Linked DNA regions of Macaca mulatta. The protein of the gene in region 2 purifies or fractionates together with the protein of the main gene of each other region. This does not show direct contact. Links are inferred from orthologs where the notes say so. Each region holds a gene or a part of one and is shown on either strand. Other genes may lie near its edges.

Region 1 (4,527 bases), on a different chromosome or scaffold from region 2:
TGGCTAGAGAAAGGAAATAGCCATCCGTCAATATAATTGTTCAGAGCTTACTCTTGCCCCAGTGTGGTCATCTTGGGAATGCTTGTCACCCCATGGTAAAGATCAGCAAAACGTCAATGTGGCAAAAAATGAACTGGAGAGAGAGAAGTTTCATCCTGGGGAGAGGTATTTTTCAGCTAACAAAGGGATAAAAGGTGAAGGGCAAAGCTGCTTTCAAAACACCAAAAGAGAAGTAAATCAGAAGAGAACAAAAAGAGTCCCACACTCTAGGGTTGGGGCACAGCAAACCTCAAGAAATGGTAGTGGATAGCAGGTAGTGGCTGCGGAGATGGCAGGAGAGGTGGCTGTGGAGCCTAAACACAGAAGGCAGGTCAGAACCTAATATCTGTTTTGCTCTGGAGCCTGACACCTCACCAGGTTCCATTTTAGTAGCAGAGCAGTGGTGCCGTCAGGAGGTGTGTTTCGTCCATGGCCCCCTATTGCTTTCTGAGACCTGCCCTGGGTGCCTGGTTTCATCATTATGGTTGTATAGCAACTTGGTTTTCCTTTCCTGGGGGACAGGATGTTCCAGCCTCACCACTGCTCCTGTTCTACCAGCAGAAGGAGAATGCAGCAGTCCGACTTCTCCAGCTCAAGAACAGACATTGCTGATGTTTGTCTCTGCCATTTATTCATTCATTTCTGCTGTAAGTCATGACTTAGAAGGCTACATTTGGAAGGTGGGATGCAGAACCTTGGCCAGTCTTTAAAAACAACTGGTTAATAAATATTACATAGAATCTATATGTCTATATATTTATCTATGTTGATATAGAAAGTTATTCAGTTTCCAGTTTTCCTCTGCTTAGTGTATGCCCCCACTGCCCTTTACCAGTTGCCCACAAAATCTTAAAAAGACAGGATGCTAGAAAACAACTCCCCTGCCCTTGAATTAAAGTGCAAACAGGATTTAACTTTAGAATAACAGAAATCTCACAAATACACAGGCCATGCAGTGATGCATTCATTATAGCTCACCTCCACCCCCAGGTTCAGGAGATGCTTGACAACATTGATCTGTCCATTGGAGGCTGCAGCATGCAGAGGGGTATAACCCTTCTTATCCTTACAGGTCACTTCTGCGCCATGGTTAATGAGCAATGCCACAACATCCAGGTGGCCTTTACAAACAAAGCAGCAGAAAACATCGTTAACCTTTATAGGACAATTTGCTGATTCATTTCACCTAAATTATCACCATTAGCTTTTATTGCCACCAGTATTTTGCTGAGTTATTTGTAAAAACTGGAAAATATTCATGGAAGCTATTCAACAAATATTTATTGAGTACCTCCTATAGTCAGGCATAATGTAAATGCTGTGGGAAGAAAAAAGATGATTCATATGAGCCTTCTCTTCAAGGAGATCTAGGTGATGCCTGTTACCATGCTAATGAATAATGGTGAGGTTTTGCCAAGATATCAGTAGAGAGCCTTAAAAAATGTTGTGTTAAAATGAAAGCAATGCTTTTGAAAACAATTGCCATTCCTCACTGAAAAGTTTAACAATGACAATTCAGTTAGGAAAAACTGATAAAAGAAAAAAAATAATGAAAATGACCATAGATTACTGTTTAATCATACAAAATTACTGCTGCTTAACTGTATTTGGACCCACAAAAATGGCAATTTCATATGGCTCAACTTAAAAGTATCCTCATGAATTAGAGGCCAAACAGAAAACCCTTCTAGTTTTAGCTCCTGTTAGCATTCTTTTCTACAATATTTTACTCTGTTCCATAATTCACCATATATAGAATAAGCCTGCACAACATGGTGAAATCCTGTCTCTACTAAGAATACTCTACTAAAACCCCGTCTTTACTAAAAACTTAGTTGGGTGTGGTGGCACACGCCTGTAGTCCCAGCTGTTCAGGAGGCTGAGGCACGAGAATCATTTGAACCTGGGAGGCGGAGGCTGCAGTGAGCCGACATAGCACCACTGCACTCCTGCCTGGGCAACAGAGCAAGACCCTGTATCAAAAAATAAATAAACAAACAAACAAACAAAAAAGCATATTTGACCTTTCTTTCAGCACTGAAGACTGTTCAGTGCTTCAGGATCACTGCTCTAAATGCGGCTGAAAATTGAAGGGTAGAAGACAAGTACTGACTCCAGGACTCCGTGTGTGTGTTGGAGTCGGGGGAGGTATTGGCTTGTTTTATTAAAATTTGACTCTTTTCTCCCCAAGACTTGTATATAGAAAATTTTTTTTCAATTATTAGTGGTGCTGTCTTAAGCTATTTGCCCTGGTTTTGCCTATTATTCCTATTTGTATCCTGATAGCACACAAAACAATGACTTGATTTCTTTAGAGTCATTTATCCAAATGCTTTAACTGTGTATACATCAGCAGAGAACAAGCTTGAAACTTCGCACTCTTTGAGTCCTATCCACACTAGCTTAGTGTGTGTTCGACCTACACAGCTGTCTCCCGCAGTCACAGGCTCCAGTCCTGCAGGTGCCACCTAGTCATTTCATATGCTTCAGCCAACTCGAAAATCCATGTCAACTTTTTTTAAAAAACATGCTAACGCTTGTAAAAGTTTAAGATTCTGTTTTTTTAAGCACAGGGATTCATTCAGACCCATCTTTAGCCACATACTTTATTTCATCCCTGCCCCAACCTATTCTTTCTCCCTATAATTAATGTTAATTTTTAAAGCGATGATAAAAGGCACATATGTTTGTTACAAAGGATTCAGAAAGGCAAAAAGGTATTAAAAGAAAACCAAAATCATCCACAATCATAAATACCCAGAGACAATCAATTAAAATTTTAGCATACAATATTTTCCAGGTTTGTTATTGCACAGATTTTTAAATGAAAATGAGAATTATTTTATTTATACTGCTTTATAATATGCTTTCACTTAACATATCACAGAATCTGTGTTAATAAACACTCATGGACTCATCACTGTAGTTACTGCAAAGGGTCCCCTTGTGTGGATCTTCCAGAATTTACCAAAACAGTCTCCTGGGGATGGGTATTCAGGTTGTTTACAACTTGGTGCTGATAGAATCCTATTTTTCTAATAGCAGGATGTTCTCCAATTAGAAACACAAAGGAAATATCTTAGTTCTTCATTTCCCACAAGTCTACACTTGGAATAAACTGTGAGATCTATCATTTGTCAGTGGGATTTGCCAACAAAAGTGAAAAGGAAAAACATAGAAATGTGACCTCTCCCAAGCGGGCAGAAATGAGGGCTGCAGGCTTCAGTTTGGTTGTCAGTGGACTATCAGGATAATCCTCAGTACTTCTGGTGCCCTTCACCTATAAAATAGCCAGAGGTTTGTCTTTTCTTCCTTTCTTCTTGTTTCTTTCAAAAATATTTATAAATTTAAAAAGACCAATGGAATTTGTGTCCTTGCTTTCCTAGCCAGTGCTCTTTCTTTTTAAAACACCTTATTTTACTGCCATGACAAGTTAAAATAAGCACAATCTGTGCAGCTTTCCAATCCAGACTGAAGCACATTCAAAGAGGCCCAAGCCATGATTCATTCCTCCTCTTCTTTGTAGGATAAATAAATATCTGACAAAGCAACTGCCCGACTAGAGCACACTATGCATGCCAGTAAAATGTACCAAATCTTCATTCCATTGCAACCCAAACTTGAAAAGAAGTCAGAATGGAGAAAACCTACATGGTCAACAAGAGACCCGTGGCTTATTTAGTTAAGGTTATCTGTACTTTGCTTTCCATGCATGGAATCCTTACCCATGTATGCTGCCCAGTGCAGAGCACGCCGGTCCTTCTTGTCAAATGCATTGATATTTGCCCCTTTGGCCAAGAGTAAATTGACCATCTGAAAGATAACCAACAAGGAAATCAAGCATACATTCTGTAATGGTGAGGCCTCCTCACTGCCTGCAGGTGATCTGAGCCAAATTAACATGAAATCTAAAGGCAGGTCAGAGATCTGGAGTTCTGACAAAGTAGAAATATGATGTCAGAGCAGGAACTGTGTCATGTGTGTCAGAGGAAAAGACTGAAGTGACAGCCTACTTTTTCAATTCATTGTGGCTCTAAAGTTGAGAATGATATAGATGCTGAAGGTTTGGTGTACAAATGTTTTCATCACATTCTTTAAAATCTCAGCAAGAAGATCAGTTTCCACTTGTGGCTGAAAGTGCCTGGAGGGAGCGTTCCAATTCTGAATGATAAAAATACCCACCTCCACGTGGCCGTTCAAAGCCGCATGGTGCAAGGCTGTGCGCCCCCCTCGGTCGGAGACATTGACACTGCTCAGCAGGGGAATGATCACTTCTGCACATTTGACAGCCTTGTTGGCTGCTGCCACATGAAGAGGGGTCTGCCAGTTCTTGTCCCTTGCATTGACATCAGCTGAGTGCTTAATCAAAACCTGTACTGCTTCCTACAACAAAAGCAGAGTTTGCAGAGGTCACTGACAGACGTTCAATCAATACTTAGTGCCATAAGATGCTTCACCAAACCCTGGAACTATGGAAACAAAGGCCAC
Region 2 (4,527 bases):
TTTTTAACTAAAATTTAAAAACACAACAAGGAGGGCAGCCCTTTAGACCAATTTATTTTATATCCATTTAAAATATCATCCAACAAAGGACAATGAAGTTTACATCTGGGACAGGTATACATAATTTGAGGCATTTGGAGTCCATCGTGCCCACTGAATAACAACTTTGCTGCTGAAATTTCTTAAAACTTACCAAACTAAAACAAAAGGCTGAATGATACAAAAAGGAGGAGTATTTAGGTGTAATCTGTCAATTGGCTTTTAAAAAAAGGAAACACATCCTGTTTCCCAGACCAGTAAATAAGCAAGAGCTACATGCAGCAGTGTGAGTATGAAGACATTTCTCAAGTCTTCTCAAATGAGTCCAGGGTGGGGATGGGATGGCGGGAAAATTGATAGAAAAACTTTGCTATAGACACCACAACAAACAATAAATTTAGATAATTTAAAATTCAAAAAAAAAAAAAGGCAAGAGGCAGCATTTCAGCAGCAAAGTGCTCAATAAAAAGTATATTGTAGAAGGTAATACAAGAAAATTGGGGTAAGAAGAGGGCAGAAAAATGGGTCAGCAGGATGGGCGAAGGCCTCAAAGGAAATACGGCGTTGTCGTTCTGGGAGGAATAACACGTTCTGAATCTGGAACTGCCCGGAATAACTTTGGTTCTCTTGTATTTACATCTTTGAAGACCATGATCGAAGCAATATTTCCACAACGATAGCAGTAATTAGGAGCAGACCATACTGTCACCAGCTTCTCATCAAACATAAATTTATAGCCTTCGTGCACTAGTTGATGTGCTCTGCAGATGAGTTTTAAGTTGTTGATATGAACAAACTGCAATTTAGAAAGACACTGTAAGTATTTAGCACTTAAAAAACAATTACCCTACATACGTAAGAAAATAATCATTCAAATACCAAATCCTATTACTACTAAATGCATCATGATTATAGAACCCACTCTATAATTATCCCCAACAATTTAATAAGTTTAGGCAAACAGAGCAATTTTGGCCTGAGTCAACTACACAGCTATAGAAACTGTATAGCTACATAGTTAGAAATTTCTGGAAGAAAAAGCATTCAATAGGTACTATGAATCAAAATTTTGTGTTTTCTGATTTAATAATAAAGATATTACTATCAGTATCTACAATTTACTGATAGTATGTTTACAGTTTACTGTAGATGTTGCAATAATTCTGAAAGAGATTATTCTTTTGCAACTTAAGGAAACAAAAGCTCAGACTAGATAAATAACTTATCTAAATTAAGATGCACTGATACAGGATCAGAATCTAGTTTTCTGACTTCATTATGATGCTGGAGCACTTCCCAATATAAAGTCATGTGTGTGTGTGTGTATTTAGTTGAAAACAGTTAAAGTTCAAAGTATTGCCTATCTTGAAGATGGTGGGGTAGCATCACAAAGCTGTTAGCATTGAGTCTCTGGACCGACTTTGATTCCAGTCTCTGCAGCAGCAGTGATCACTTAGTGAAGAGTGCTTAGGATAGTTGGCCAGGATCCTGAATATCAAAATCTTCAGCAGCAGCTCCCACCAGGACTTATCTCAGAAAACTGCTGACTGCCTGGGCCTGGAGCTCAGCAAGGTAGTGACTAAGAAATTCAGCAACTAGGAGACCTGTATGGAAATTGGCGAAAGTGTACGTGGAGAGAATGTCTACATCATTCGGAGTGGCTGTGGTGAAATCAACAATAATTTAATGGCACCTTTAATCATGATTAATACCTGCAAGATTGTTTCAGCCAGCCAGCTTACTGCAGTCATCCCATGCTTCCCTTATGCCCAGCAGGATAAGAAAGACAAGAGTCGGGTGACAATCTCAGCCAAGCTTGTTGCAAATATGATATCTGTAGCAGGTGCAGATCATATTATCACCATGGACCTACATGCTTCTCAAATTCAGGGGTTTTTTTTGACATCCCAGTGAACTACTTATATGCAGACCTAGGTGTCCTGAAGTGGATAAGGGAGAATATCTCTGAGTGGAAGAACTGCACTATTGTCTCATCTGATGCTGGTGGAGCTAAGAGAGTGAACTCCATAGAAGACAGGCTGAATGTGGACTTTGCCTTGATTCACAAAGAAGGCCAATTAAGTGGATCGCATGGTGCTTGTGGGAGATGTGAAGGATCTGGTGGCCATCCTTGTGGATGACATGGTTGACACTTGTGGCACAATCTGCCATGCAGCTGACAAACTTCTCTTAGCTGGAGTCACCAGAGTTTATGCTATCTTGACTCCAAGTATCTTCTGTGGTCCAGCTATTTCTCACATCAACAACGCATGCTTTAAAGCAGTAGTAGTCACCAATACCATACCCCAGGACGACAAGATGAAGCACCGCTCCAAAATACAGGTGATCGACATCTCTATGATCCTTGCAGAAGCCATCAGGAAAACTCACAATGAAGAATCCACTTCTTACCTATTCAGTCATGTCCCTTTATAACACAGTTACTTCTGAGGTTTTTTAAGAATAAAATCCACCCCACCCCTTGTTTTCCCTTGGTATTTGATGACAAATTCAGAAGACCCAGCTTACTCCAGTGTAGCTTTCAATATCCCACATCAGGTATATCTGAGCTTATCCGAAATGGAGAAAGACGGGTTGAGATTAACTGCTGGGACTTCCTACCTGCACTGTCTCATTCTGGCTTCCTTGATGATTTTGTGAGTCTTGCAGCTTTAACAAGAGCTCAGCTGTTACAAGATTTCAGACTTTTGAGGATAGTGGGGGTGTCTGACTGTGATTGGAGAAGCTCAGACTACCTTGCATGTGAATGCTTCAGGGTTTTCTTTGTTGAGAACAACTAGCAACAAAGCCAACCCATGTGTGAGCAGTTCTCCCCAAGGTCTATGCTAAATTATGGCAAGAGCCCTGGGCAACCCCAAACCTAGTCCCAGTGGCTGAGCACCCTGTAAGGCAGGAACAGGCAGTTGGACTTGAGCAGCCATGGGGTGGGGGGTGGGGGTAGTGGAGGGGGGAAGCAGCACAGTGCAGCAAATGTTTCTTGGGAGGAAGAAGCCTGATTCATCATCATCTGCTTGACTACGTAGCTTGGATTCTCTTTTGTACCTATTCCTTTGATTTGGCTTTACTTTCATCCATCTTGATCCTTTCCTGGCCAAATATCCGCTTGGGCCCAAAGGAACACGGCACCATAGTCCTCTGGAAAGCAAATGTGCTTCCTGCTATGTAATCGCTAACATTCACATTACATGATTTGCTGTAGCTTGATCTTCCTTAGCCTACTACCACTGTGGCAGTAGGTTTTAGGTGGTCTCATAGTGCCTTTTGATTAATTTAAGTATTTAATTGCCATCTTCCTTCTTTGGATCTACTTGGCATTTCAAATGAACAGAGATTTCTGTTTTAAAAAAAAAAAAAAAAAAGGCCAGGCGTGGTGGCTTACGCCTGTAATCCCAGCACTTTGGGAGGCTGAGGCAGGCGGATCACGAGATCAAGAGATCGACACCATCCTGGCTAACACAGTGAAACCCCATCTCTACTAAAAATATAAGCGATTAGCCAGGTGGCGGGCGCCTGTAGTCCCAGCTACTCAAGAGGTTGAGGCAGGAGAATGGCATGAACCTGGGAGGCAGAGCTGGCAGTGAGCCAAGACCAGTCACTGCACTCCAATCTGGGTGACAGAGCAAGACTCCGCCTCAAAAAAAAAAAAAAAAAAAAAAAACAGATTGACATAGGCCAGGTGCGATGGCTCATGCCTGTAATCCCAGCACTTTGGGAAACCAAGGTGGGCAGATCACCTGAGGTCAGGACTTCAAGACCAGACTGACCAACATGGTGAAACCCCGTCTCTACTAAAAATACTAAATTAGCCAGGCGTGTTGGTGCACACCTGTAATTCCAGCTACTCAGAAGGCTGAGGCAGGAGAATTGCTTGAACCCAGGAGGCAGAGGTTGCAGTGAGCCGAGATTGCGCCACTGCACTCCAGCCTGGGCAATATGAGTGAAACTCTGTCTCAAAAAAAAAAAAAGATTGATGTTATTGGCTCTTGTAGAGGAAACTAATAAAGTGTCTGTATCTGTGTGATTTGAGGTCTTAAAAAAAAAAAAAAAAAAAAAAGTACTGCCTAGTTTGGTCTTGACATTTTGTTACTTAATTACAGTATTTGAAAGGAAGGGGGCCGGCCGGGCACAGTGGCTCACACCTGTAATACCAGCTCTTCGGGAGACTGAGGTGAGTGGATCACCTGAGGTCAGGAGTTCAAGACCAGCCTAGCCAACATGGTGAAACTCCGTCTCTACTAAGAATACAAAAATTAGCCAGGCATGGTGGTGTACGCCTATGGTCCCAGCTACTCAGGAGGCTGAAGCAGAATTGCTTGAACCTGGGAGGCAGAGGTTGCAGTGAGCCAAGATCATGCCACTGCACTCCAGCCTGGGCGACAGAGCAAGCAAGACTCCATCTCAAAAAAAAAAAAGGAAAAGAACATTTACTTTATCCACTATTACCAAGTGGATGCTGGAGTAGGTGCT
Region 3 (4,527 bases), on a different chromosome or scaffold from region 2:
CTTTCAGCACCACCACCCGAGTTAGTTTCCTCCACCCCTGCACCCATCTACATTTCTTTTCAGTTCTCCAACTAGTACCTCAATATCCTTCAAGTCGGTTGCCTGATTGCATTTGGGCTCAAATCCCCAATGGCCCAATTTCTTTTGGGCTCCACGGACCCTTATGTCCACCCCAGGTCCGTTCACCACTGCAGGCCACCTTACCTGTGGGGGGTTGAAACTCAAGTACAGGGCATCGCCTGCAGGGAGGCTGCGCCGCCGAGGATCCACAGGTCTGCGGGCCCAGGGGGCCTCGGCTGGGAGTGGCTCGGTCTGGCCCAGGGCGGCCAGCTGCCTTCGAGCCTCTTCAGCCTCCCGCTCCAGCAGCGCCCGGGCCTGCTCACTCTCCCGGAGCCGGGCCTCCAGGCTGCCAGCTTCGGTTGCCCGTTCTTCACCTAGCCGCCGGCAGCGCCGTAGCTCCTCCTGCAGCAGCGCATGTTGCCGCTGCAGTAATGCCAGTTCTGTGGCCTGCTTTTCAGGGGCCACAGGGGCAGCCCCAGCCCTGCCAGCCTCCCCATCCCGAGAGTTGGCTCGGCACAGCTTCTCCCGCCGCTCAGGGCCCTCAGGGAACCGGGCTTCCATCAAAGTGTCCTGCTGGGCCACAGCTGCCTGGGGGTAGAATGTGGGCAGAAGGGTTTATCAAAAACCCCTGTGGCTCTTCTACCCCTTGCCCTCACCCTCCAAGGCCCAGGTCATCGCTCCTCCAAGGCCCAGGTCATCGCTCCTGGAGAGCTTGGGTTGGGAGGGTATTTAGAAAGGCCTGTTGGGATGACCATGCTCTACCTAAACAGGCATCTCTAGCCTGGCTCCTCCCCTTCCCCATTCAAGCCCTTGCCCTACTGACCTGTAGGCCATGTAGAAGTCCATAGAGATTGACCAATCGCTGCAACGCCTCCTGAGGACAGACGGGGTGGGAACAGGGCCCCAGCTTTAGGATGGGAGAACTGCCCAAAAGTTGAACAAGGGTAGGTGTGGGGACAGTAGGATCTGGAGACATACTTGGATGTAGACACTTTCCCCACCCCACTCCAAACTGGGTTCTAACTTCTCAGCCTAAGAACACCCTCCCTTTAGTCTCCTATACTGTCAATTCCCTTCTCACCTCTTGGGGTGATCTCAGCTGATTTCCATTTCGATCCTGCAGAAATGGGCAAGAATGGGGAGTCAGCAGGCACACAAATCCTGGGTGCCTGCCCCTGACAGCTTTGTGTTGAGGATCCAGAGGCTGGCTGTCTCTCTCCCACCCTCTTGCCAAGTCCCAGAACCTCTTGAGGACCTACCCTCTGGCTGGAGTCTGAGTCGGCTCTGCACAGTTCAATGGAGCCATTGAAGGTTCTGGCCTCACCATCTGTTGAGAAGGAGAAAAGGATGGCTGAGCTCACTTCCCTGGGGCCCTGATACCACTCGATCCCTGGTACCACTCCACTTGCTTTGGCCCCTCCCACCTACTACCTTGGTCCCCTGCCCTGGCACTCACTGGCAGTGACCCCAGGACTCGTGTTACCACCGCTGTCTGGTTCCAAGGGCAGGGCTGGTTCTCGGGGTGTCAAAAGCAGTTCCACTCCTGGCCCCACCAGCAGGTCTTTCAGACCCTCCACTGTGGGGAAAGAGGAAGAGGTGAGAGTAGGAATGATACAGGACCCTGAGGGGAATGCCATTCACCCCTACATGTGGGGCACTCGGGCATCCAGGGGAATGCCCCCTGCACTGGCAGTGGGGTTTCACTCACACAACCACTGATGAAGTAAAGGGCAGTAAATGCCTATGAGGCAGCAGGAGTCCCTGCAGCATGGACGACATGGAGCAGCAGTAAGACCACACCTCCTCCCCTGCCTTTCCCAGGAACTGGCCCAGAAGAGGCACTCAGGGCTGTTCATGGTTCATGGGGTTGGCATCCCACTTGTCTGTGTTTGTCCATGTCTAGTCACATGTCCATATTCTGTGACAGTGAGTGCTTGAGCCTAGACTCTTCCCTGGGAGCTCCCTCACCCTCACGGATGGCATCCTGCAGCAGCCGCTCGCCACGAGGGGACTCAAGGGACTCGGAGCGGAAAAGGCCCCTGGGCAGGGTGGGCAGGGCCATCCCACTGCCACCATCCTCTTCGGCCTGGAAATGGGTCATCTCAGCAAACAGCCCAACCTTCTCTCGCAGCAGCTCCACCAGTGCCCGGTCCTTCTGCTGCAACTCCACTGCAGATAAGGAACAAGTGAGCCTATGAGAGGGCCTAGGGGATATGCAGGAGCGCCAGTAGAGGACAGCCCTAGGGGAAACAGGGTAGTGCGGGGCAGTTTGGCAAGACTTAATTTTGTTATTTTAGCATTTATTAAAAAAGAAAAAGGTTTCTAGGAGCCAGGCGCAGTGGCTCATGCCTGTAATCCCAGCACTTTGGGAGGCCGAGGCAGGCAGATCACAAGGTCAGGAGATCGAGACCATCCTGGCTAACACAGTGAAATCCCATCTCTACTAAAAATACAAAAAATTAGCTACTCAGGAGGCTGAGGCAGGAGAATGGCATGAACCCAGGAGGCAGAGCTTGCAGTGAGCTGAGATCTCACCACTGCACTCCAGCCTGGGCAACAGAGCGAGACTCCAGTCTCAAAAAAAAAAAAAAAAAAAAAAAAAAAAGATTGTGGCAGGGGTTGCAAGGGGTTGCAGGTTGTCCAACAGTGTTCATTCTTCCCATCTTCCTTTAATGAGAAAATGCATAGAAGTTTCATCTGGGCACACATGGCTGCTCAGTTAACAACCATGTTTTCCTGCCTGACTTGCACATGACTATATTGCTATGTGACTACATTCTGGCCAATGGATATGAGCGTCTTCCAGATCTGCTCTTAAAATAAATGGGTATAGGCCAGGCATGGTGGGTGGAGCACTTGAGGCCAGGAGTTCGAGACCAGCCTGGCCAACATGGTGAAACCCTATCTCTACTAAAAATACAAAAATTAGCCAGGAGTGGTGGTGGGTGCCTGTAATCTCAGCTCCTTGGGAAGCTGAGGCAGGAGAATCGCTTGAACCTGGGAGGTAGAGGTTGCAGTGAGCTGAGATGGCGCCACTGCACTCCACCCTGGGTGACAGAGCGAGACCCTGTCTCCAAAAAAAAAAAAAGAAAAGAAAAGAAAAAGAAAAAAAGGGTGTAAACTCTGTTCCTTTACGCTTCCTTGCTAGGTGTGATACAGGTGTGACAGTGGGAGCTGGAGCAGCCACTTCAGACGTGACATAGAGATGAAAACTTCATGTTAAAGATGGCAGAGCTGCACCACTACTCTGCACTTCCCACTTTGAACTGTTACGTTGACAGCAATAATATTCTACCTTTTTGGGTTTTTTTTTTTTTTTTTTTTGAGGCGGAGTTTTGCTCTGTCTCCCAGGCTGGAGTGCAGTGGCCGGATCTCAGCTCACTGCAAACTCCGCCTCCCGGGTTTACGCCATTCTCCTGCCTCAGCCTCCCGAGTAGCTGGGACTACAGGCGCCCGCCACCTCGCCCGGCTAGTTTTTTTTTTTGTATTTTTTAGTAGAGACGGGGTTTCACCATGTTAGCCAGGATGGTCTCGATCTCCTGACCTCGTGATCCGCCCGTCTCGGCCTCCCAAAGTGCTGGGATTACAGGCTTGAGCCACCGCGCCCGGCCTTGGGTTGTTTTTTTTTTGTTACCTAGACTGGAGTGCAGTGGTGCAATTATAGTGCATTGCAGCCTTGAACTCCTGGGCTCAAACAATCCTCCCACCTCAGCCTCCCAAGTAGCCAGGACTATGGGGTCTTGCTATGTATGTTTTGTTGCTATGTATGTTTCTCGAACTCCTGACCTCAAGAGATCCTCCCTCTCCCAAATCCTGCTGGAATTAAAGGCATGAGCTACTGCACCAGCCAATCTACTTTTTTTTTTTTTTTTTTTTTTGAGATGGAGTCTCGCTCTGTCATCCAGGCTGGAGTGCAGTAGCTCAATCTCAGCTCACTGCAAGCTCCACCTCCTGGGTTCATGCCATTCTCCTGCCTCAGCCTCCTGAGGAGCTGGGACTACAGGCACCCACCACCACGCCTGGCTAATTTTTTTGTTTTTGTATTTTTTAGTAGAGACAGGGTGTCACTATGTTATCCAGGATGGTCTCAATCTCCTGACCTTGTGATCTGCCCACCTTGGCCTCCCAAAGTGCTGGGATTACAGGCATGAGCCACTGCGCCCAGCCAATCTACTTCCTTTTTTAAGGAAGAAGATTTTTGTTGGTCTTTTTGTACAGCAGTTTAATCATACCCTAACTAATATAAGGCCTTACAGTGAAAAAGTAAGTTACTCATCCAACCTTGGTCTTCCATATTATTTTTACACACATGGTAGTATACACTTTACATTGTTTTAAACCTTGCTTTTTTCACTTAGTATGTTTCAGCTGTGGATCTATACCAGCCCTCACAGAGCCATCTCATCTTTTTAACAGTTGCATAATATTCCATTGTGTGAATGTATTATAAATTACTAAGGAGCTCCT

The links. Proteins that work in one complex are often made in the same cells at the same time.
Region 1: the proteins of PPP6C (region 2) and ANKRD44 purify together in Homo sapiens (affinity purification with mass spectrometry; 5 studies listed by BioGRID and IntAct, counting the BioPlex papers as one, with this or other methods). This does not show direct contact. The link is inferred for Macaca mulatta from reciprocal best matches to the Homo sapiens genes PPP6C and ANKRD44.
Region 3: the proteins of PPP6C (region 2) and ARHGEF2 purify together in Homo sapiens (affinity purification with mass spectrometry; 4 studies listed by BioGRID and IntAct, with this or other methods). This does not show direct contact. The link is inferred for Macaca mulatta from reciprocal best matches to the Homo sapiens genes PPP6C and ARHGEF2.

What each region holds. Positions count from the first base shown.
Region 1 is NC_133417.1:102,059,577-102,064,103, forward strand, and holds part of ANKRD44 (serine/threonine-protein phosphatase 6 regulatory ankyrin repeat subunit B), read right to left. Parts: intron 4,423-4,527; coding exon 4,222-4,422; intron 3,853-4,221; coding exon 3,765-3,852; intron 1,161-3,764; coding exon 1,018-1,160; intron 1-1,017. UniProt on the Homo sapiens protein: Putative regulatory subunit of protein phosphatase 6 (PP6) that may be involved in the recognition of phosphoprotein substrates.
Region 2 is NC_133420.1:22,617,955-22,622,481, reverse strand, and holds part of PPP6C (serine/threonine-protein phosphatase 6 catalytic subunit), read right to left. Parts: intron 2,476-4,527; exon of another isoform or gene 1,726-2,475; intron 836-1,725; coding exon 587-835; 3' UTR 1-586.
Region 3 is NC_133406.1:110,998,978-111,003,504, reverse strand, and holds part of ARHGEF2 (rho guanine nucleotide exchange factor 2), read right to left. Parts: intron 2,230-4,527; coding exon 2,029-2,229; intron 1,637-2,028; coding exon 1,517-1,636; intron 1,388-1,516; coding exon 1,320-1,387; intron 1,178-1,319; coding exon 1,142-1,177; intron 935-1,141; coding exon 884-934; intron 649-883; coding exon 205-648; intron 1-204. UniProt on the Homo sapiens protein: Activates Rho-GTPases by promoting the exchange of GDP for GTP.